Linked DNA regions of Mytilus edulis. The protein of the gene in region 1 interacts with the protein of each later gene in a pairwise test. Links are inferred from orthologs where the notes say so. Each region holds a gene or a part of one and is shown on either strand. Other genes may lie near its edges. The genes, in order: peroxisomal targeting signal 1 receptor-like; delta(3,5)-Delta(2,4)-dienoyl-CoA isomerase, mitochondrial-like; acyl-coenzyme A thioesterase 8-like.

Evidence for each region.
Region 2: the proteins of peroxisomal targeting signal 1 receptor-like (region 1) and delta(3,5)-Delta(2,4)-dienoyl-CoA isomerase, mitochondrial-like interact in a two-hybrid assay, tested with the Homo sapiens proteins (2 studies listed by BioGRID and IntAct, with this or other methods). The link is inferred for Mytilus edulis from reciprocal best matches to the Homo sapiens genes PEX5 and ECH1.
Region 3: the proteins of peroxisomal targeting signal 1 receptor-like (region 1) and acyl-coenzyme A thioesterase 8-like interact in binary tests that used the Homo sapiens proteins (3 or more experiments, as listed by UniProt). The link is inferred for Mytilus edulis from reciprocal best matches to the Homo sapiens genes PEX5 and ACOT8.

Annotation. Positions count from the first base shown.
Region 1 is NC_092356.1:54,303,440-54,312,411, forward strand, and holds the start of peroxisomal targeting signal 1 receptor-like, read left to right. Parts: upstream 1-5,774; 5' UTR 5,775-5,914; intron 5,915-8,389; 5' UTR 8,390-8,405; coding exon 8,406-8,501; intron 8,502-8,877; coding exon 8,878-8,919; intron 8,920-8,972. Other genes in the region: retinal rod rhodopsin-sensitive cGMP 3',5'-cyclic phosphodiesterase subunit delta-like, read right to left, coding at 5,486-5,526.
Region 2 is NC_092346.1:50,875,220-50,883,984, forward strand, and holds the start of delta(3,5)-Delta(2,4)-dienoyl-CoA isomerase, mitochondrial-like, read left to right. Parts: upstream 1-5,051; 5' UTR 5,052-5,164; coding exon 5,165-5,204; intron 5,205-8,328; coding exon 8,329-8,497; intron 8,498-8,765. UniProt on the Homo sapiens protein: Isomerization of 3-trans,5-cis-dienoyl-CoA to 2-trans,4-trans-dienoyl-CoA.
Region 3 is NC_092348.1:72,301,806-72,310,033, reverse strand, and holds the start of acyl-coenzyme A thioesterase 8-like, read left to right. Parts: upstream 1-4,539; 5' UTR 4,540-4,570; coding exon 4,571-4,662; intron 4,663-7,817; coding exon 7,818-7,963; intron 7,964-8,228. UniProt on the Homo sapiens protein: Catalyzes the hydrolysis of acyl-CoAs into free fatty acids and coenzyme A (CoASH), regulating their respective intracellular levels. Displays no strong substrate specificity with respect to the carboxylic acid moiety of Acyl-CoAs.

The DNA.
Region 1 (8,972 bases):
ATTTCAACTTTTTAAGTCTAGTTTTTTTCATATTGATTTAAAAATGTACGGAAAAGCCAGATAAAAGACAGAGGAAATCAGGTCCCCATACGGCACAATAATGAGGACTATAAAAAAGTTTATCTTGCATATTCAATATATTTAAATGTATTTTGTTTTAAACAGGTCAAATTATGTTCTGACTTCAAAGAGTCAGTCAAAAACTTCAATTTAGCTAATTATTACAACTTTTTAGTCTATATAATATATTATTTTAAACCATTTGACTGAATTGTTTCTAATAAACCTATCAATCAATTAACTCAACAGTAGTAGATTCAGATAAAAGGGAAAAAGGGGGGGGGGGCTTAGAAGAAGAAGACCTAGTTTTGATTGGATTTAATTTTCTCTGTAAACTGACTTTAACAGGTCAAATCATGTTCTGACTTCAAAGAGTCAGTCAAAACTAAACTTATTTCAACTTTTAAGTCTAGGATTTTCATATTGATTTTAAAATGTATGGGAAACCAGATAAAAGACTGATGAAATAAGGTCCCCTTAAGTCACAATAATGAGGACTATACAAAAATGTATTTGGTATATTTTATATTCAAATGTATTTTGTTAACAAATTTCATCAAATTAATATCTTAAAAATTTATTCTACTTCCGTATTTTCATGACTATTTTTCTGTTAAGTTAACAAATAGAACTTTTGGTTGTAAAAAACATTATTCTAAAAACCATTTGACTGAATTGTTTCTTAATTTTTTTTAACTCAACAGTAGCAGATTCAAATAAGGGAAAAGGGGGGGGGGGGCTAAGATGAAGAAACATAGTTTGATTGGATTTTTTTTTCTGTAAACTGACTTTAACAGGTCAAATCATGTTCTGACTTCAAAGAGTCTGTCAAAACTAAACTTATTTCAACTTTTAAGTCCAGGATTTTCATATTGATTTAAAATGTATGGAACATTTTTATTTGATATATTCAATATTCAAATGCATTTTGTTTTTTAAAGATTTTCATCAAATTATCTAAAAAAAAAAAAAAAATATTGTATTATTTCTGTATTTTCATGACTTTTCTTTTCTGTTAAGTTAACACATGGAACTTAATTGTGGTTGCAAAAAAAAATTATATTTTAATAACCATTTGACTGAATTGTTTCTAAAAAAAAATCAGTAATTAATTAACTCAACAGTAGCAGATTGATATTTAGTGGGGAGGGGGATTAGAGGAAGAAAACCTAACTTTGATTGGACATTTTTTCCTGTCAACTGACTTTAACAGGTCAAATAGTGTTCTGACTTCAAAAAGTCAGTCCCATCTAAACTTATGTCAACTTTTAAGTCTAGTTTCTTCGTATTGATTTAAAAATGTACGGAAAAGCCAAATAAAAGACAGTGGAAATAAGGTCCCCATACAGCGCAATAATTAATGAGGACTATAAAAAAGTTTATTTTGCATATTGATTATTCAATATTTAAATGTATTTTGTTTTAAACTGGTCAAATTATGTTCTGACTTCAAAGAGTCAGTCAAAAACTTCACTTTAACTTATTATTACAACTGTTAAGTCCGGCATTGTCATAAATATATGCATTTAAGAACGTATGGGAAAATCAGATAAAAGACACCCAATAATAAAGTCACAATAATGAGAACTAATATTTTATATTCAAATATATTTTGTTTACAAATTTCATCAAATCATCTTTAAATTTTATTATATTTCTGTATTTTCATGACCTTTCTTTTCTGTTAAGTTAACACATGGAACTTTTGGTTGTAAAATATATTATTTCATACCATTTGACTGAATTGTTTCTAATAAACTTATCAATTAATTAACTCAACAGTAGCAGATTCAGATAAAAGGGAAAAAGGGGGGGGGGGGGCTTAGAAGAAGAAGACCTAGTTTTGATTGGATTTAATTTTCTCTGTAAACTGACTTCTTAAACAGGTCAAATCATGTTCTGACTTCAGAGAGTCAGTCAAAACTAAACTTATGTCGACTTTTAAGTCTAGGATTTTCATATTGATTTTAAAATGTATGACAAACCAGATAAAAGACTGATGAAATATGGTCCCCTCAAGTCACAATATTGAGGACTATAAAAAAAAATGTATTTGGTATATTTTATATTCAAATGTATTTTTTTTAACAAATTTCATCAAATTTATATCTTAAAAATTTATTTTATTTCTGTATTTTCATGACTTTTTTTTCTGTAAAGTTAACATATAGAACTTTTGGTTGTAAAAAATCATTATTCTAAAAACCATTTGACTGAATTGTTTCTTAAAAAAAATTAATTATCCCAACAATAGCAGATTCAGATAACGAGAAAAAAAAGGGGGGGGGGGCTAAGATGAAGAAACCTAGTTTGATCGGATTCTTTTTCTGTAAACTGACTTAAACAGGTCAAATCATGTTCTGTTAAAAAAATGTTGAGGAGAAAATACTATGAAAATCAGACTAAGTTTGGTGACTTTGTTGTCCTTCAAGAAGTGGTACATATAAATACATAATATTTTCACTACAACTATCTATTGGGTGTTTTTTAAATAGAATTTTTAGCAACATTTATAACTTTGTAATTTATGTTCAATTGTACACTTGTTATTCTTAATATATATTTTTTTGGGAACAAAATCTTGTCAGGGTTTCTTATGGTACTAGCATGACAAGAGCATTCATATTCTTAAATACTCTAAACATTAAAAACAAGTCATTATCTTCAGATTATTCTGAGTCTTTCTGGCCTTATTAAATTAAAGTCAGAACATTCAGACTTTCATAAGTCAGAACATTCAGACTTTCATAAGTCAGAACATTCTGACTTTCATAAGTCAGAACATTCAGACTTTTATAAGTCAGAACATACTGACTTCCAATGTTCTTCTCACTTCTGTAGAAACAAAGACTATCTATATTTCAAATAAAAGGTTAATGCTTTATGTGGCTAAGCATCTGGGGTAAGAATTATAGATGTGTAACTTCATAGGAAAACATATATGCCATATAATTAGGGATTGACCCTGTACATGTATGTCATTCAAATCTTCTTGAAATGACGAACAGGAATATTATATGGTTTAGGGGTGGTGATCCAGACCATTTCAAAAAGGGGGATGGGGATGACCCCCATGGACTTTCCCTTTATTTCATTTGATTTGTTGTATTGTCCCATATAATAATATATAGGCTTAAGGGGTGGGGATCTCAACCGTTTACATGTTTTCAAACATGAGGGGGTGGGGTGACCCCAAGGGACTTTATCTTTATTTCATTTGATTTGTCTTGTTGTCCCTTACACTAATATATATGGTTCAGGGGTGGGGATCTTGACCATTTACATGTTTTCACACTGTAGGGGCAACCCCCCCCCCCCCAAGGGACTTCCCCTATATTACATTGGGTTTGTTTTATTTTCCCATACAAGAATATATATAGTTTAGGGGTGGGGATCTCGACCGTTTACAAAATATAAGAACATTCGCAAATGGCAGGGGAGGGGGTAAACCCAGAGACTAGCCCGGTATATTTCATTCAAATCAATTTGACATTATAAAAAGGAATATATATGGCTGTTTACAGGTGGGGATCTCGACAATTTTCAAGATATAAGATCATTCTCAAATGACAAGGGGTGGGGCGACCCATAGAGACTAGCTTGGTATATTTCATTATACTTTACAGAGAGAAAAAATTGAGTTAAGGGGGCAGGGATCTCGACTGTTCAACATTGTCAAATGACAGGGGTAGGGTGATCACTGGAGCCTTACCCTACATTTCATTTGATTTGTTTTTAAGATCATATTCCATGTTCATAATTGAAAAACCCGTTTTGTGAATCTCTTTATAATGTTCTCAAGTTAAAATCATTTTTAAAATAAAAATAAAAAAATATTTCGGTTCTTTTAGTTAAACCCTCCCTTCCCTTTTCCTTTATTAAAATTATTCCGATTTCATTTCATTTTCATTAATATCAATATTCAAAAGATCGTTTTTCTCATTGGGAGAAACGAAAAAACAAATATATTTATAAGCCGCAAACTCGGAAAGGTTAAAAAGTCAATTCATGATTGAGTTTAAAAATAGAAAAATCACGTGATGATGTTCAGCTCGAAGCAATAATTTTACTTTTAAAATTGCACTGACTGGTTATTAATGTTAATACTGTTTAAGACAACACGAGTTGTCTCCCGAAAATAACAGTTCATTATCATAACAACATTTTCTGACCTGAACAAGTCAGAATTGTCAGACACCAGGTCATCTCAAAGGCTACGCGTCCGTATTTACAGGTCACGCGCCTTCATGAAACAGCAACAAAATCACTTGCAAAGACCTTCTTCACACGCAAAAAATATTAAAATGGCCATGAAAATACGGAGGTAATATGTATTACCTTCTGAAAATGACCACATTGACCTAGATTTTCAATAAAAAAACGTAAATAATCACTATATTTTCAATAACTTCTCGTTCGAGAAACTCCCAAAACAACAACTCTCAAACACGTGATCTCTCGCAAAAAACCACGTGATCGTATGTGTCTTAGATCGGCGGCAAATTCAAAATATCTTCTGGTTTGACGGACTCGATGGAAAACTACGCAAAACAAAAATTGACCCGTACAGGTCAGAATGTCAAAACATTTTCTGACTTGAAGAAGTCATTTTATTCTGACTTGTTTATGTCAGAGCTCTGACTGTAAGTGGGGCTATTTTTTTAAAAGTGGGTCCAGTTGGTAAACCAGTTTGGGACAACTTTTTAAAAAGTCGGTCGAGTTGGTGAAAAAGTGGGGCGGTTAGGTGTGGGGCAATGCATTTTGAAGATGTTAAATGACACTTCTTACTAAACATTCAATACTACACAAAGGTTGACCATTCCCAAAATGTGATCTTCTTCTTCTTCTTCCAGTAAGCGGCCACCGTCAACTGGTTGACTATTCTGCCACATTTATGGAGTGCGCGCATGTATGAAAAAATTTTAATTTAACAAAAACAAAAACTAGGTGAATTTTATATACAAGTGCAAATAAAAACATGTCAATTTAATTACTGACGGAGCTGAGCCTTGAAAGATTCAGGACTCGGGGCAGAGACCTTACAGTTGGGCAAGATTATTGTATGAAGCCAATAGTCCAAGAGACACAGATGCTCAAGTCAAGCAGCACCTATTTCTAAATAGTAATAGAGTGTATAATATTATAATTTACACGGTCTTCAACAGTGTCCCAAGTTTTAACACATATAAACTGTGTCTGACTGTGACAACAGAATCTGGAGAACAAAGGGATGACATGATGTCATAAAGTAAAGCTGTAGATATATACATGTAGAAAAGGTCGAGCAAAGGAATTTAAATTTGCATGTCACATAATTTAATGTAAATGTCACAAATCAGGATGTCTCTAGACGCCGATGATAGATTTGGAAATTTGTAAACATAATTGATGTGAATATATGTACAGTTATCTTGATTAAGGATACAGTTTGAATCCTTTCATTATGTCCTCTGCTTTTGATGGCATATTGATTTATAATTGTGTTTTATCAAAACTAGTCTGGTTCTATTTCACGATTCTCCAATGTCAACAATTTAGAAGTAGTTCGTTAAATTTTCCTACGCGACAATCTGTATCAAGTGAATGTTTGTATGATCGTGTTGGTTATAATGGTCAATTGTATACCGAACTCTTTAATTTGCATCAATTTTCTTAATTTTTAATCCAATTCAGTGAATATATTTAGTAAAGAAAGTAACCAGGTTGAAAATTAGTATCATTAGACCTATTTCTCGCACTTACCGGAAAGCGTCCTGTTTTCAATGAACGATGTTGTTCGGCTTATGTGGGACGATGGACTGACCTGTGTTTCTCAAAATCATAGTTAACTCTAAGAACGTGAAGGAAACCATATGTAAATATATATTGCTGTTCAGCGAATATAAATGTACTTTCTGTATTGAATCCTTCTTTTTCTATGGTTGTGGTAACTTCATTTATGAAATTTATGCAAGTCCTCCTCTTCACCTGTTCACGACTTGTAGATAATTTTCATGATACATGGATAGTGCATATAGCTAGCATTGACTTAGTCCAAATAATTATGACATCTTGAAAGTCTATTATATTTTTTTTTGTCAAAGGAAGGCATCAAAGCAAACATTTAAAATAGCCTTCCAAGATGTCATAATTATTTGGACTACCAATCTACCATTGACTCTGATCTAGCTGCGGAACTGTAGCTCTTAGGTCCTTATGTTATTTTTTGACTATTTGCGGACGGTCCGCAAATAGTCAAAAAATAACATAAGGACCTAAGAGCTACGGTTTCCGCAGCTAACTCTGATCATGACAGCTTGGGGATTATTAGTCCAAATAATTATGACGTCTTGAAAGGCTATTATATTTTTTTTCTTTGACACCTTACATCGACGATGCGTCACAGAAAAAAAATATAATAGCCTTTCAAGACTTCATGATTATTTGGACTAGGACAGTCAGGGGTATTACTTGTACAAGTTATTTTTAATTACTTGAAGAAGTAATATTAATATTCTTATATAGGTAAATTTGCTGGATACTTATACAAGTGAATTTTTTTTTACTTATTTTGGTAAAAAAAGATATTGCCTGAGTTTTGTCCCTTAGACATTTAGTTTTTTTTACTTGTAGATGTAAAAAAGTCATCCTATCTTCTTTTATTGAATTCTTATGATTTCTTTGCTCTAATAGAATTTTAAATTATCTGCCCTTTGCAGATGTCTTTACTTATCATTTAAGTGTAATTTCATGGACAATGAAAATCCCATTTGTCTGTTATCCTCAAACACTGCTTATTTATACAAGCCCCAAGGAGCAATCTTTGAAGGCCTTGCACAATTACTTAAGATCTGTGTGCAGTCAGTTTCTTTGTTAAATTAATGAGATGAAACATTGAACTCTAACAAAAAAAAAATAATGAGCAAACCTGGGAAAAATCATTTAAGGCAATGGTGTATAACACGCCTACTTTTGTTGTCAATATCATCCGTAGCAATCCTACACATCAATAACCTATAGAAAAAATGTGTTTATAATCCTATAGATATTAAATTCTATGCCACTGATTGAAACTTTTCATCAATAAAGTTTATCAGAATGTTTGCAAATAAGTGAAGAATATTTCCATTCATCAGTCTTACATTTTCATAGTGGATAACATGTGCTCCAAGGTTCTGATTTTTTCTATCTTTTTTCAAGTAAGGGTATCGAACTTCCAATAATCGAGGATACAGTTAAATTCTGCTAACTTGCCCCACTTGAGAGTTAATTTACACGCTCACCTCATTAAGTTTCAAAATAACACATGACAGAAACCCCAGTTGTCATTATTTATGTATTTTAATTTACATGATTAATTAATTCACCACATAAAAAAAGTAAATAAATATTGTGGATGAAAATTAACCGTTGCTTGATTTCATTAATGTGAATTATTTCATTCAGTTAAATGCATGAAATGATATTGTTTTATTATAAGTTGTATAATGATGATTATGCTACATACAAAAATGTATGTATATTAACATGATTAAAGTATTTTTTTCTTTTTTTCCTTTATATTTTGAAAAAACTTGTAAACATTATAACAAATGACTAGCATGCATCATCATGATTATCATACAAATGTACATTGTTTGTAAAACATGTCACATATGTTTGAAAAAATATCAAAAATCAAATTAGTAACAGACATTATGTTACATGTTATATATATTTACTAAGAAGTGATAAGAAAGGGAAGCGAATTTCAGAAGGATCTTATCATACTCATCATACTTATTGAGAGTCTTAAAACTAATGTAGATTGTATTTTAGAACCCACATCACTTAATTACCCATTTGTTGACATGACTCTCATGCACTCAGGGTTCTCGCTAAGGATTTTTGAAGGCGAGTCCAGGGGCTCTTCATTTTTAGCCATGATGAGTCCAACAGCAAGAAGAAAATATTTTATTGCAATACAATGTAATATTTTAGTCTCCATTTCCTAACAGAGCAATGAAATGACATTGAATTCATATCACTTTTAAACTTTTGCTATAAAATGATGACATTTGTGTTTAACTGTGTTAAGTTTATACAAAATATTTCAATCTTGATGCTTCTGTGGACTCACCAGTTTTAAAAATGGTGAGTCCAGACAGATTTTGATGAGTTCAGGACTCATGGACTCGCCTTAGGAAGAACCCTGCTGAAAGCAATTGAGGCTTCAACATGTTCAATAACGGGATGGCATGGTGATATTTCTAATATTCTATTGTAATTTTAGATAGACTTTTGCCATGTGTATTTGATTTTAAATATCACGACTATGCTAGTAAAATTAATTTTAATTAATACTTTTCAGATTTTTAACCTACAAAATGGCTATGAGAAATTTGGTGGAGGGGGAATGTGGAGGCTCTAATTCACTAATGAAATTGACGTCACATTTCACACAGGATAGAGGATTACGACAGGTATATGTACTTGCATATATATATATATCAGCTGAAGACTGATCTTAAAAGTATTGTATTGCAACATATTTCTTATTTAAGTTATTACAATGTTCTTGTATAGCAAATAACTAAATAATTAAAACTGAAAAAATGTTAGTTAACAGTTGAAGTGATGGTTTCTAAATATGTATTTAAATAAGTTCTTTAATTCGAACATACTAAAAGGTCTATGTAGTAACGATGAACATTTTGCATCTGTCTTTGTCATGATTGTCTGTACATGCTGTAATTGTCTGACAAAACAGCCCTTGGAGGTCAGAGTAATCTCAGACTATCATGCTTTTTAGTTATTTCTACTTTGTAAAATATTTAGAAAAAAAAAATTTACTTACAGGAAAACTTCAGTCATGGAAGAGTCCAGCACCCACAGCAAATGGTAGTATTATCTAGAATAAAGTCTTTTAATACTGAATTGGTTTTCCTCAAAGT
Region 2 (8,765 bases), on another chromosome or scaffold:
CTGGTTACCCAAATTTAAAGTATACGCAGGTTTTAGTTTAGCCAGGTTTCACAGTAGTAGATTATCTCCCTTGCCAATCCCATGATCCCCGCCGAAAAGACCCATTCTGACAATCTAGTCATAAAGTTCTGCATGCTTTTTATATGTTTGTTTTGTGGATATGTGATGCATGTATAACTGTGTTTATAGAAGTGAATATGCTTTGTTGATCACATTTTGTTTTTACAATGTATTAATTGGTTGGATGGATGTAACAACATATTTTGTATCAGATTCACATGGCAGCTTGGTTATGGTTCATGAATCAATTTTGCTTTTATATATTATCAGCTGATAAGAGAAGAAATACTGTTTTCTATAACAGGATTAAACCCTTTTCCATTATACTTGTTTTCAAAGGAAGACTTCCAAATTAACAAAAAAGACGTCAAACAAAATTTGTCAAGTATACGCCTATGGTGTAACATCTCATAAAAAATTGAAAAAGTTTTGTAATATATTCATTTTATATGGACACATACAGTGATAATAATTGGATGGTTCCTTTGTTGATAGCAACTCAATGTTTAGAAATCGGAATGACTGTTAACATTTTCTTGTCCTTAAACTACACTACAATTAATGGGGAGATAACTCTTTAAATCAGAAATGTGTTTGAAAAAGTCTGATTCATTATTGGAATATAATTTATTATCACTTGAAACAGAACTGAAATAATCTGATCATAAAGAAGCTTAGAACATATATATATAAGTGTGAAAATGACTAACACAAACAACTGATTTTAAGAGTTATGTCTCCCCTAAGTTGACCTCCATAAGTCATGCATGAGTCTGTTGAAGTAAATTCGGTTATGAATGATCTATTTAGTGCTCTGTTCTATAATTGTTTCAATATGTTTTAAAATGTTTATTAAGTATACTATGTATACTGGTTTTAACATTTTTCTAGGATTCGAGGTAACACTTTCTTTTGTGATATCAGTTTGGTATGGGTATCAATATTTGACACCAAGTATGCTCTTTTTTGTTATTTAAGATTGAGAAATAGAAATTACATATGTTTGCTTACTACCTCATAATTTTTGCTCCTGTTAATTCAAAAACTATTGTGATATTTTTATAATAATGTAAAATGCAACAGGATGAGTAAATAAAGTAACAAAAACAAAAAAAATTAATAAAACTAACAAAGAACTGTAAAATGTATATGGTCACAATTTTATTAAAGGTTTAAATTCAAAATAAAAATTGCTCACATTAAGTTCTGAATTAACAGTAATTGTTGTGATTAGTTGTCAGTTATTATAATTATGTTAATATCCGAGCCGATAATGTTCCAGTTTCATTAACAGATTTTTATAGCTTAGAACTGGTATATATACATGTATATGTATATCCCTAAATATAGTTAACAATTAAAAGATTGAATAGGGATGGAATATGCAGTAAGTATACTGTATACCTACTTATGTTTGCAGATATTTTTTTTCTCATTTAGCACTCTAAGTGGATTTCGCAGCGACATATTTTCTCAAATTTGTAACTTCTGTGTGGTATATAATACAGACATTGCAATATGATGGCACTTTAAAGTTAAATAATAAATCAAAGAAAATATGAAGTCTAAAACAGCAGGGAAAAAAAGATCAGATAATTGAGGGAGGGGTAAAAAATGAGACAGTACCAGTATCAAATCTTCACTTCATTGTACAATGTATGTAAAAGAAATGGCTCGACAATCTAAAAAAATATTGAAAGATAAATATTTTTTAAATTAAAACCTTCAAAAGTATGACTTTTTTTTTAAGTTGGGCTTTTTGAGAAGAGCACTCTTTAAATGGACCATTTTACTTATTAGATTAGATTGGCCCACTGTGTTGTTTTGTGATTTTTTTTCAAAAAGGACTTTAAAAAAAATGGAAGCAGCACTTTATACTTATTATGCACCCAAAGTGCTTTTCTAGAATAACATAAGAATGCCTTTCAAAGGGACCAAAATACCCAAAAATTAAATACACAAACAGAAATATTTTAGATTTTATTGAACTGGAAATATGTTTGACTGGCAAAATATGTGTGGCTTTTTGTAACTGTTGGTGTACAATATTGTTGGTATGTTAGTGCAAGAACTTATTTACACACATGAATGTTTTGTAATTTTGTTTTCTGTATTTTTTGTATGAATTTTGTTTTATTTAGATTTATAATACACAATTACAGTGACAAAAAACAATGGCATGATATTATTGTAGCAAAGATATTAATTGTTTGGTTAATTAAAATCATGTATTAAAAATGAAAACATACCATACTTTGAAAATAGTTTAATTTTATGTCAAACATTTTTGATAGTTTCAATAGTATCATTGGTTTATTGCGTCAAGAGTAAGTGGTTCTATATACAAAAATGATACAGTCAAGATCAGGGAAAAATTGTAATCATGTGTTAATTTTCTGGGCTTTATTACTGAATCACACAAATAGAAAAAAAATGGATACCAACAATGATACTACTTTATTGTTTATTTACATTTTTCATAGTTTCATTCATCTTTGGTGTTACATAATCAGATGTTTATTCAATGAGTTATGTTTTATATTAATAAATAAGTTCTTAAATGCTTTAAATGTTGTTTTTTTTAATGGGAGATTTACATACCAATGTTAGGTCTGGACCTGCATCTCTGAATGTAGCTGATTGAGGTTGCATGTATATTTAAGCATAACTGATCATTTCCTTTCATTAAAGGCAAGAAAACTTGGATGAGAATTTGCCTTGTAAAACTATCAATTCTAATTGGCTGCATGCGAGATGTCAAAATTGCTTACTATCTACAACTCTTCATTATCAAGCTACAGACCATATATCAAATTATTCCCTTTCAAAGAAGCCAAGAAAATTTTGACATCCATTTCTTACCTAATGTCTTCCAGATGGACAGATGGATGGAGATCTGCTTCCATCTTGGGCAACACAGGTGAAAATAAATGGAATTAGTATACATGAGGCAAAGACTTTTTAAGAAGCTATAAAGATAGCGAATTTTAAAAATAAGAAATGTTTAGAATAATATTTAAGAGCAGACTAGCAAAGATGATAGTATATTTTGTAGGTCTCTTTATACAAACTGTTAGTTGACAGACATAAATTAACGTGTGTGATACTGGGCAGGTATGGATGAATGATTGATTTCAAGAGAGCAATCTTGCAACTTTGTTCAATATAATGTTGATATGATATGAAAATAATATAATAGATCAACATACTGAGAAAAATTTGAACAGCAGCGTCATAAGTAACAGTCCACAGATAGAAAGGTTGTCCTACCTGGACAGATTATTTTGATTCTTAGCTGACCAGTCTTTACCGTTACTAATGCATAATACAATCTAAGAAGGAAAGGAAAAATATCAATCTAAGGTTCTTGCTTTGATTCAGCCAGATATCAAGTTTAGGAACTCCTGCATTTAATGGCATACAAACTACCACAAGACCTCCAAGGCATTTCACAATGGTGATAATGCTTATTTTTACCAAATTTTGAACTAAAGACTATGTGAGCTTTTGCCATCACTTGCTCTCATTCATTGTCCTATCATCGTAAACTTTTAAAAAATCTTCTCCATCTGAATCTACTGAGCATGGTGTTACCAAAATTAACCTGAATGTTCCTTAGAGTATCTATTATGAAATGTTATCCTGGGATTTTATCCATAAAAAAATTTGGCTCCTTTTACTTGAAAATATTGTTTGATTGATGTTTGCTTAACGTCCATTGGCAAACATTTCATACATAGTCAAGACATTTACAACACAAAAATTGTTCCTTTGCTTTTTGTGTGTTTTTTTGCATTGCATGTATACTTTGTTTTTTTGTAAATATTGCATAAAATGTGATCAAAACCCTATAGTACGGACTTGATATTTAAATCTTCCAAAGTTCATCACTTCCTTTTATAGTTCTAACAAAATAGACTGTGAAGCAATCATTCTTTCAATCTTATCAAGTCAATGTCGAGTAAATTGTTGATTATATGAGGAATCACCGAGTCACCACTTGAGGTGGCACCCCTCTACGGCAGTCAGTGGGACCCCCCATATGAAAATTTCAGGATCGCCACTAAAAAACTAATTATGATATAGTAGTGTTCTTTTTAAATACATACGGGTATATAATGCAAATATGATCAGCAAGTAAGTCAACATGTATGCATAATTACAGCTCTTTTCTTAATGCTAGCGAAAAAAGGTCTGTTTGTCTTGCTTGCCATGTTTGTATCAATGTTTGCTTATTTAGCAATGTAATTAAGATTGACATCTTAAAACAACATAAAAAGGCAGCTTTAAATTTGTTAACATTATATTTAAATTTGATTGGACATTATCAAATAATCAAATTTACCTATCCACAGGTTTAGCTCCACTACTTATATTGTTTGCAGATGTCAAACTTAATTGCAATGCTTGAGCAAATATTTATACAAACAAAGCAAGTAAGTTTACCAAACCTTTGGTTTGCTAGCATTATGAAAAAAGCTGTAATAAACTCTTTTTCAACGTCATTGAATTTTTGAAGAAAAAAAATCAGAATGAATTAATAAAATAGGACAGGTGAAAAATAAAAAGACAGGACTGAAAAAAGTGAAAAATAAAAAGGCAGGACAACATTTTTCATCTTAGCCCCTACCCCCATAAAAATAAAATGGTAGCTCCCTAATTTATTTAGTTTTTTATCAAGAAAAAACAATAATAGATAGTGATAAAATGTAAAGATTATAAAGCACAATTATACCTACAAATAACTCAAATTGCTGAATTTTTTATGAGTTATTTCCCCTGATTGGTGATTTTTATCTGTTTTTAGCTATTTTGACTTTCTCTATTGGCCTCTTTTGTCAATTTTCATTAAATAAAAAAAATTCTTATCATGAAAATTTTAATAGATAGACAGATACTTTAATAAGCATAAAATATTGACCATAACGTTGTAGAATAAAATCCGGAAATTTTACGGTTCACGTACGAGTATGAAGAGAAGTTTATATTTTGACTGGTTTACCGTATTCATTCATAACGAATTTGGTTTAGGAAATTATTACAGGAACAGATTCAACTGCAAAAGAAACTGACAGCAAACTTGGACTTTACCCCTTTTATCTAAATGCATGGAATAAGGAATATAACGAGAAAAATACTGAATTGTACGTAGAAAAATACATTCGGATAAAGTAGGGAGAAAAAGATTAGACTTTAACAATGTAAATCATGGGCAAAAGATATTTACAGGTTCTGGCAACTTCTGCAAAATTATCTTGACTTCAGAAGTTCAGTGATCATTTTTCTGTTTAAGGTTCTTTATAACAAATGGACACAAAATGGCTATATTTACAACTCAATAAATACTATGAGTACAGACTAACCTGTGCCGTTTGAAAAGTTTTAAGGCCTGCAGGCATTCACCTAGTCAAAATAATTATGACGTCTTGAAAGGCAAATTTTTGCTTTGACACCTTCCTGTCGATGTAAGGTGTCAAAGAAAAAAAAGTAATAGACTTTCAAGACGTCATAATTATTTGAACTAGCATTCACCATGTTCACTAGATACAAATGAAATGCATTTACAAAATGTACTTAAGTGTTTCAACTTTCAGAAAGATGAAATCTTTTTGGATTTTGATTGGCCTTTTTTTGTCATTCCTGCAGAAGGTGTAAAAAGAATCCGGGTCACTTTTCCTTTGGTTAAAAATAAACAAAGTTTGGTAAATGTAACTCTTTGAGATGCTCCATCCCAAGTAGCTGCAGAATTGTAGCTCTTAGTTATTTTTTGACTTGGACTTAACTTTCAAAATATTAATATTTCCTTTTATAATATTAGTACCAAATATCCAATAAATCAAATTACACAGAGAAGAATTAGTGTCTTTCAAAACATTTTTTTTTCAAGGAACAGAAATTCATAGATCTCCAAAACAATCGATCATTAGAGAGATTTAAAAAAAAAATGGAAGGTTCATGTATCAAACTGGTATGTTTAACATGTTTAAAGTTGACACTAATAAACTTATATGTTATTGTAAGTTTTGAACCCCAGATCAGAGAAAGCTCTACTTTTACTAGTGTTTATAACTCCATCAACATACCAGAAAATGACAATATTTAAAGGTATTGGGTCGTTCCGGTCCCAAACCGATCCGGCCCCAAGTCAATCTGGCCCAAAGTCGATCCGGCCCACTCTGATCCGGCCCCATAATAAAATATGAATAAACTATATTCACTTTATGGGGGAACTTGTGACAAATTTGAACAGTATATATAAACGAAATCATTAGTCTATAATTGGTTTGTTTATTCAACAATTGTCTGGTGATTGTGAACTATGGTAATGCCACTTGTAATCACTTAGTTCAATCAAATCCTGATTAATTAAAGTTACGTAATCAACAAGGTCTTTATAATTCAATCTTTTGTTTGGTGTATATAATAATAATTAATTGTATTTTTATTTCGGGTAACATCAGAGGCTTCTATCATGTCTATAACACTTTTTTTTTGTAACATCATATAGCCAATATATTTTTTAAGTTTGTATGTATCAGCTTGGGGATCCGCTTGTACCATTGTGTATGTAACTATTTGTTATTACTCAAGACGAAAGACTTGTTAGGATCACAGTCAATTGAAAGAAATTGCTAATTATTGCTGATTAATGTTGATGTCTGAATTCTTTTTTATATATACGTTTTAATATAATTATACCCAATAATCTTGAAAAAAATCTTGTACACCTTTTATATTATAATAACAAGAGTGCACACGCTGAAATGTCTCGCCTTCTATACTAATCATTGATATTATGTTGATAGTCTTAAGTATAAATCTAAGCTTTATTACAACTGTCACATAAACTTTACATTAACCAAGATAACTAAACAAAGACCAATGAACCTTGAAAAAGAGGTCCAGGTCAGATGAACCATGCCAGGCAGACAGGTACAGCTAACAATGCTTCTATACAACATATATAGTTGACACATTACTTATAGTTTAAAAAAATAGACCAAAACACAAAAACTTTACACTGTGCAATGAACCGTGAAAATGAGGTCACGGTTAAATAAAACCTGCTTGACTGACATAAAGATCATAAAATATTTCCATACACCAAATATAGTTGACCTATGGCATATAGCATTAGATAAAAAGACCAAAACTCAAAAACTTAACTTTGACCACTGAACCATGAAAATGAGGTCAAGGTCACATGACATCTGCCCGCTAGACATGTACACTTAACAATCATTCCATACAACAAATATAGTAGACCTATTGCATATGGTATGAGAAAAACAGACCAAAACACAAAAATTTAACTATAACCACTGAACCATGAAAATGAGGTCAAGGTCAGATGACACCTGCCAGTTGGACATGTACACCTTACAGTCCTTCCATACACCGAATATACTAGCCCTATTGCTTATAGTATCTGAGATATGGACTTGACCACCAAAACTTAACCTTGTTCACTGATCCATGAAATGAGGTCGAGGTCAAGTGAAAACTGTCTGACGGGCATGAGGACCTTGCAAGGTACGCACACATCAAATATAGTTATCCTATTACTTATAATAAGAGAGAATTCAACATTACAAAAAATTTGAACTTTTTTTTCAAGTGGTCACTGAACCATGAAAATGAGGTCAAGGACATTGGACATGTGACTGACGGAAACTTCGTAACATGAAGCATCTATATACAAAGTATGAAGCATCCAGGTCTTCCAACTTCTAAAATATAAAGCTTTTAAGAAGTGAGCTAACGCCGCCGCCGCCGCCGGATCACTATCCCTATGTCGAGCTTTCTGCAACAAAAGTTGCAGGCTCGACAAAAATCATAAACATTTATCAATTACAATTAATATATATCTTTATTTTTATTTCTAATCCTTATAAATATTTTTTTGGGGGGGGCCCAATTGACTTTACATATGGGCTGGATCTACGTGGGGCCGGATTGACCCGAAAGCTATTTAAATAAACTTTATCCTGAACACAGTTACAAATGTTAATTGATACAATTTAAAAGACAAAGTGTATACTATAAAAATATAAATTTGTACTTAATGTAAATTGCATATAGACTAGAATCAAATGGCACTAGCCACTTCAAAAGTTGTGATTTCCAGAATACATGATAAACATAATCAATTGGTATTTTGAATAATTAATTGCTTGCATTTTAAGTTTGACATTTCATTTAATATGTGCACATGGATCTAACATATACCAGTATGTAGTACACACGTTTTGAATTTTGTTTTGACAGATTCTCTTGATAGAAATGCATCACTGACCTGTCTTGCTGTAAGAAAGATGTCTGGTGAAACTAGTTATGATTTTGAAACATTAAAGGTTTCTTCTCCAAGAGAGGATGTTGCTCATGTCGAACTTAACAGACCAGACAGGCTTAATGCTATGAATATTGCATTTTGGAGGTAATTATATAATTAAGTCTATGCATGCATATGATTCATTGTACTTTTTTTGATGAAACAAAAACTATCATCTTAATTTGAGCCCACTTAATGTTGGATGCATTTAATTTTTCAGATTCATCGCTCATCAACTTATTGTATTTTTTTTGTAAACCAAATATTTTTATTTGTACACATAACACATAAAGGCTGTGTATGGAATTTGTGTTCGATTATTTTCAGAAACTATATATCAAGATGCATGTGAGCCTGCTTTACTGTTTGATAC
Region 3 (8,228 bases), on another chromosome or scaffold:
TGACACAAAAATTAACAACTATAGGTCACCACACGGCCTAAAATGTACTGTTTGTAAAAGTATGAATTATTCGAAAAACTAAGGATTGTGTTATCACAGTCATAGATTCCCTTAGACGTATTTGGCCGAGGTTTTTTTTATTGGTATTTTGGGTCCTCAAAGCTTTTCAACTTTGTACTTGTTTGGCTTTCTAACTTTTTTTTATCTGAGCGTCACCGATGAGTCTTATGTAGATGAAACGCGCGTCTGGCGAATTAAATTATAAGCATGGTACCTTTGATAACTATTTACACCATTGGGTCGATGTCACTGTGGTGAACATTTCGTCCCCGAGGGTATCATCAGACCAGAAGTCAGCACTTCGGTGTTGACATGAATATCAATTATATGGTCATTTTTATAAATTTACTGTTTGCAAAAGTATGAATTATTCGAAATACTTAGAATTTTCGTATCCCAGTTATACTTTCCCTTAATTAACCGTATACGTATTCGTCACAACCTATTGGTATTTTGGGTCCTCAATGCCCTTTAACTTTGTACTTGTTAGGCTTTCTAACTTTTTGTTATCTCAGTGACTCAGTCTGGTGAGTCTTATATGTAGACAAAATGAGCGTCTGGCGTATTAAATTATAAGCCTCGGCTGGTACCTTTGATAACTATTAATTTATGACAATGTTAAACTGTGGTAATTTGAAAACAGATAACCTTACTTATAACTGTACAATGTATTCTGTGGTGTTGAAAATAAATAACTCGGCAGGTCTTTTTAACCATTTTATAAATGATAAAGTATATATGTCACCAGAAAGTTCTAGCACGAACACTACCGGGTTAGAACCCATTTATGACAAGCTACTAGCTGATGTTGTTAAATACTCTAATTTAGGGCACATTATAGTCCAAGGCGATTTCAATGCCTATACTAATACCAAGGATTTGTATAGTAAGATCTTACTATACAAATCCTTGCTAATACAAAACCAGATTTTATTGCCTTTGATAATTCTTGTACTTCAAATCAAGATGATTTACAATATATTTCTGATCAAAATATACCAAGGAATAACCTTGACACCAAACTTGTCAACAATAGTGGAAAGTATCTACTGAATTTATGTAAGGAATCAAGTCTTAGAATACTAAATGGTAGAACCATAGGTGATTTACATGGTAAACACACTTGTATTACATACAATGGATGTAGTGTTGTAGATTATATGCTTGTGTCTAAAGAATTATTACATATAGTTGGTTATTTTGAAGTACATGACTTTACTTCTTTGTCAAATCATTGTATAATAAGTTGTTCTTTATTAATAGGTTTTATTATGCCTCAAAATACACCCCAATATCAGTTGGATCCTATCCCAAATAAATTTATATGGACACCTGAAGCAATAAATCTATACACATTAAATAGTAATAGTATAGAGAGTAAAAACAAATTTGAACAGTTTTTGAAATCAACTTTTAAAGACTCTGAATCAGCAGTAATTTCATTTAATAATATACTATATGAAAATGCTTTGAAGTCTGCTAAACTAGTAAAGAAAGTCCCAGTCAGAAATAAAAATCAAAATAGGTCAAAAAGACGACCTTGGTACTCTGAATCTTGCCGTGAACTTGCCGTTACAGTAAAAAATTATGCAAAGTTAGTTAATAAACATCCCTATAATTCTGAATACAGACATAAATTTTATTCTTTCAGATCTAGACTTAGACGTCTATGTAAATATGAAGAAAATAAATACAAAAAAGATATATTTTCAGAACTTTATACATGTGAGAAAGACCCAAAGATGTTTTGGAACATCTTGAATAAATTAAGTAGACAAAAAAGTAATAACAAAGAAAATGAATCTTTACCACAAGAAGATTTCATCCAGTTTTATAAAAAATTGAATAACTGTGACATAAATCACAATAGTTTTCACTCTAAAATTATTAAAGATTTTGACTCTCTAAAAGAAAAGTTTAATTTATCACATGTTACAGATGACTTAACTCACTTGAGTTCAGAGATAACAATTGAAGAGATAGTAACAGCTATTCGTTTAATTAAAAATGGCAAAAGCACATCAGCCGACATGATTTCAAATGAAATGTTGAAAAATGCAATCCCCATCTTAATAAAACCACTTCATAAACTCTTTAATAGCATATTCGAATCTGGTCAATTTCCGAGAATATGGAATGAGAGCTTACTTGTTCTCTTGCATAAGAAAGGGGACAAATTTGATCCAGGGAACTATAGAGGTATATCTATTAGTTCCAACCTAGGTAAACTTTTTAATAAAGTTTTATATAAACGTTTAGTAAAATTTATGGATATCAAAAATTTAATAAGTAAAAATCAAATAGGTTTTAAAGAGAAAAGTCGTACAGCTGACCACATATTCACTCTTAAGACCATAACTGATCAATATAGACAAAAAAAGAAAAAAGTTTTTGCTGCCTTCATAGACTTAAAAAAGGCATTTGATACTGTATGGCGACTAGGTTTATTTTCTAAACTCATAAAACATAATATCCCCCAAAAAATGTTTAATGTTATTTATTCAATGTATACTGATACAGTAAGTAGAATAAAATTCTCTAATGGGTTGAGTCCTCCATTCCTATCAGAAAGGGGTGTTAAACAAGGTGACGTATTGAGTCCACTTCTTTTTAACTATTTTATAAATGATCTAGTAGGTAATCTTGATGACAAACATACGGATCCAGTTGCTATTGGGGATACCTCTTTGAACATTCTTTTATATGCAGATGATATTGTTTTACTATCTGAAAGCAAAGAGGGTCTACAAAAATCTCTTGATATTTTACATGAATATTGTTCAACATGGAAACTACAAGTTAATACTGATAAATCAAAAATTATGATATTTAATTCTAATGGCAAGACATTGTTAAACCATTTTACTTATGATAATGCATATCTTGAAACAGTAACAAATTATTGTTACTTGGGTATTGTTTTAAAGTATAATGGCAATTTTTGCCTTGCTGTGAATACTCTAATGGAAAAAGCCAGGAAGGCATACTATAAAATAAAGAAAACTATAGGTCTCAACAACCCATGTAGACTTCTTGAAAAATTGTTTGATTGTTTAGTTACTCCCATTCTTACATATTGTAGTGAAATTTGGGGGGTGGATTCACATTTTAAAGACTCTGATCCATTTGAAAAACTTCATGTTAAATTTATCAAAGACATATTAGGGGTTCACTGTAAGGCATCTAATGATGGATGTCGAGCTGAACTTAATAGAATTCCCTTGAAAAATAAAATATTATATTCAATATTCAACTACCTGAACCATATAGTTTCTTCGGAAAATTCTTTGGCATATGATATATTCACTAAATCTGTAGATTCAAACCCTTGGTTCATAAAGGTCAAGAGTCTTTTGAATGAACTTGGAATGTCTTATATCATCAATAACTTTAATTATGTTAAAGGTAATTTAAATTCTATTAAACAAAGAATTAATGACCAATGTTTGCAAGTTCAAAATGCAAATATATTTGAATCCAAAAAGTTAGACTTTTTCAAAAGTGTCTACATAATGGGCAGAAGACCACCCTATGTTGATATATTAAAAAACAGAAGTGACAGAGCTGCAATATGTAAGATCCGTATAAGCGCTCATACACTGATGATTGAAAGAGGGAGACATCTAAATATTCCCAGAAATGAGAGATACTGCTCTGTATGTAATTCTGGTCAAATTGAAAATGAAAAACATTTTCTTTTACATTGTGAAAAATACTCAACTAAGAGGGACATATTTTACCATAAAGTTTCAAATACAATCGTTGATCCTACAAAATTTCAAAAACATGAAAATAATATAATCTTTTTATTAAATAATAATTCATACACAATCCTAAAACTAACTTCCTCTTTCATCTCAGACAGTTTGAACCTGCGTAAAGCAGAACAAACTCTATAAAATTGCTAATAATCATTGTTCATAATATTACATATTAATATAGTCATTATTTTCAATACTTAATATGTTTGACCAACTATGTAATTGATATATATTTTTTTTTTTAATCATTTACTGTTGATGATATTGATATCGTTCGATGATATTGTTCTAAATATGCCTATTGCTATTCTATGCATTATTACTATTTGTATACCAGTTGTATGGGCCATTGCCAATTATTGTAATTGTGTTTGTGCCAATAAAAATATTTGTATTTGTATTTGTATTCGAAAGTATGAGATGGCATCAGATTCTTCATAAAATTCATATTTTAAAAACATTTATTCAGGAACCACTTCCCAAATCTCTTAATAATAAAAGTATTATAAATATTATTTAAATATACTTGAAATGTTTGAAATTGGGTTTCATTTATTAACTTTAGGTATATTGTCTCAGGAACACTTGCCTCACTTTTATTACAGGGCCATGAATGGTGGATGTACAAAAGTTAAACATCGAGACTAGCCGCACAGCAATGCAAATTCACATTCAGTATAACAGTAATATTATATGACTGCACTTTTATATTTCGCGCCAAATATTATTAGAGTTACCTCCCATAGAAAATGGCAATGGCAGCAACTGGAACTGACGATCTAGAAAATGAACTCGTAAGATCGTATTTGACGTTGGAAGATATTGACACTAATATCTTCAGGTAGAAAATAGTTTCTTAATGTTGTTTATATATCATTTTTGTTTAAAGATCAAGATCAAGAGACATATTATTTTAAACATGAAATCATGCAACAACAAGAGTGACACAGGTCCCCCTTTTTAGTATTCAAATCGGAATATATAGATGTTTTATATGTATCTGTATGTGTCCCAGGTTGCAGAAATTTTCTTTTAAAAAATGTTTTACGCTAGAAAATTCTCTATATATATTTGTAAAAGCATTGAGTTATGAAATTTCTCAAAAGTAAAGTTGCAATCACAGTAGCATGCAGGGATGGGCACGATTACTGACAAATGTAATCGATTAAAAATAATCGATAACATGAAGGATTTTTGTGCAATCGATTAATAATCGATTACTCAAATTTTAGTATGTAATCGATTACTTTATCAAAAGTAATTACATTACTTTTCGATTACTGTCAATTACATACTTCAACATTTCAACAAAAAATAACAGGAGTAAAACACAATTATATTGCTCAACATTTGTATATATAGTGGAAATTAAGATCTTTACCTAATGCATCATTTATAGCATTGTTTCTAAATTATAAGTTAATAGCTGCTTTTTAGATCAAATCTCTTGATGAAAATTAGAAATATTTAAAAAATCTCGTAATTTTGACTTTCAACATATATGAAAGATGTCATCGCATTGCAATAATCACTTATTCATAACTAATTGTTTTTCAAAAAATTAGTTTTCTTACTGACACGTTATCTTTTTTGTTTTTACTCTTTAAAAAAAAATATTTTAGCATAGTTAATTACAATGTTTAAGGAAATATAAAAAAAAAGTAGAATAATTAATTAGTTCAGCTAATTTTTAAGATCAAAATTTATTTTTATAATGACATGCATGTTTTAAAACTTTTGTTTGGATAACCACCCTAATTACAGATTATTTAACTGCCACTGGAGTATAATTTATAACCTGGGGCTAAATATTGTAAATTTCCTTCTTTATTAGACATAAGATAATTGAAATAAAAACAAAGTATGTTTGTTATTGATTAGAAGACTTTGATCATCTCATTAGTAAAGGCAAGAATGTTGTTAACTTCTCCAATCAAATTATATACAAAATATATTTATAGTGTCAAAGGGATACATGTATCTATTTCTAAAAAGAATTGCTATGCATTGCCATTGGTTCATTGTTAAAAGGATTTTGTGTTCATTTTTAATTTAATTTATATACATGTATATATATCATAACATTTAAGAAATCAACTGTTTATGTATTCTAAGCTTTAATTTCAACTCTGATTGAAAATGATGTTTTCAGGAAATTTAATACAAATAAGCTTACTACTTTTAAAAAATGTAGTACAGAACTTAACGAAAGACAGACACATTTCTTATTTAAGATCTATTTTATTTTTTCAAATCTATTTTCTTATTTAAATAAAAGTAATCGAAATGTAATCGGAAAGTAATCGATGATTACATCCAAATTTTTGCTGTAATCGATTAAATTACGATTACATGTAATCGAAAATGTCTTCAATTACAGATTACTGTCGATTACTTGAAAAAATGTAATCAATTACAATCGATTACGATTACAGATTACGATTACCCCATCCCTGGTAGCATGAGTAGTCCGAGATAACTCTGACGTCCAACGGCTGTTTTGTCAGACAAGCTGGGGCCCCAAGCTTGTCTGGCAAAACTGCCGTTGGACTTCAGAGTAATCTCGGACTTCAATCACAGGTATTTAGGTCATGGATCCCCCTTTTTTGGACCCCACTAAAAATATTTACAATTTTCTACAATGTATGATCCCCCTTTTTTGGACCATTGTAGAAAATGTAAATATAGAAAGAAAAAAAAACACAACATTTTTTTTTAAGTGGGGTCCAAAAAGTACAGTTTCCATCTCAAACTAAATGAACAATAGTTGAGTAGAACAGGAACATATATATTAACGGAACTTGACACTACCTGATTGTAGTCGATTTTATTGTCGTGCCATTGTAAATAAAGATACAATACGGAAACAGACAAGTTTTTAAAACATACTCACTATTATCCTAAAAATTTCTGATAATATCAATAAAATGTCATTCAAACTAGTTTTATAGTGATGCTAGCGTAATTTAAACTTGTATTCTGTCACTTCAAATTTGTTAATATCGCAAGCAGTTCATCACAGAACTGTGCAGAATGCAAACAAGGTAATAAAAAAATGGCGGCCATTGCCGTGATGATTTACAAATTCCCAAACTATTATAAAACACTTCACATCAAATAAATCATACTTATTTTAGTAATTTTATATGACAAAATATATCTTCTTAATGATAAAACTTGTATTTTTACGACTATAGAGATATGTGGTTTATTTATTGAGCAGTTCCAATAGTTTTTCAGTCAAACCCTACCAAAATCCATAAATCTCAGGAAGTCTTGGGAGTCCGAGATTTTTCAATTTTATACTGAAAAGCGTATCAGATTCATTTCCTGTTAGATATACTGTTCCCAGAGTAGAAACAATATCTTATATTATAATAAAATTACTAAACAATAAGTTGCAAATTTAACAAAATCTGTCAACATAATCAATGAATTATAGTAAAATAAATTTGCTTTACATTTTGACATTTTATAAAAAAAACAATTATTTAATCATTAATTTAAAACAATTTACTAATTTTACAAGCCCACAAGGGAAATAATTCAGTTGAAGTTTTATTGTAATCACAAATAGGCAGTGGGATATCCTGTGAATGAAACCGAAAGAAAATTCACCCTTTTATGATAGAATTAAGAAGGTCAATAATCAAACAATACCAGTGTCGATACTAATCAAAAGTTATTTCTAAAAAATAATTGTACATTTTAAATAATTTGAAAATTAAAAAAATTGAGGCCAATATTAGACTTGAGCACCTTCTCTTTTTCTATTTTGCAATAATTATCTATATGTCAAATGTATGTCATTTATTTATACTTCCTGCGATTTATTTTCCAGTTTTTGTATACTTAACATGCTTAAGTTTCATGGATGACTTTTACCAATGAAATTCACAATTGAGTTATAAATGTTATAAACCCCATGATTAATTATGAATCCATGTTCGTTTTTTTACCCTTATAGTCATAAGACTAATTTATTATCATTATCAGGGCTTCACCAGTGAATCTTTGGCGCCCCCTTGCTGGAAGATTTGTTTATGGAGGACAGGTAATTGGTCAGGCACTGATAGCAGCCTGTCGTACTGTCAAAGAAGAACAGCATATTCACAGCTTACATTGTTATTTTTTAAGAGGAGGTAAGTTTAGTTCTCAGACAAAAGAAATTCCAATATTTTCGTTTCAATTTGGTGCTGTTGTCAATGAAATTCTGACTCTGAATCAATTTTACCTTTGAGTAAATGGATGTTCATCATGTTCATGTGTCTGCCTCAAGTGAGAAACTTGTTAATGGTAGTTTTTGCAGCATCTTTAAGTGTAATTGTCATTTTGTTTACCTGTAGATTTCTTATGGGTTTTTTTCAGTGTTGTCGGGTAGCTGTCTAATTGGAGTATACCCTTCAT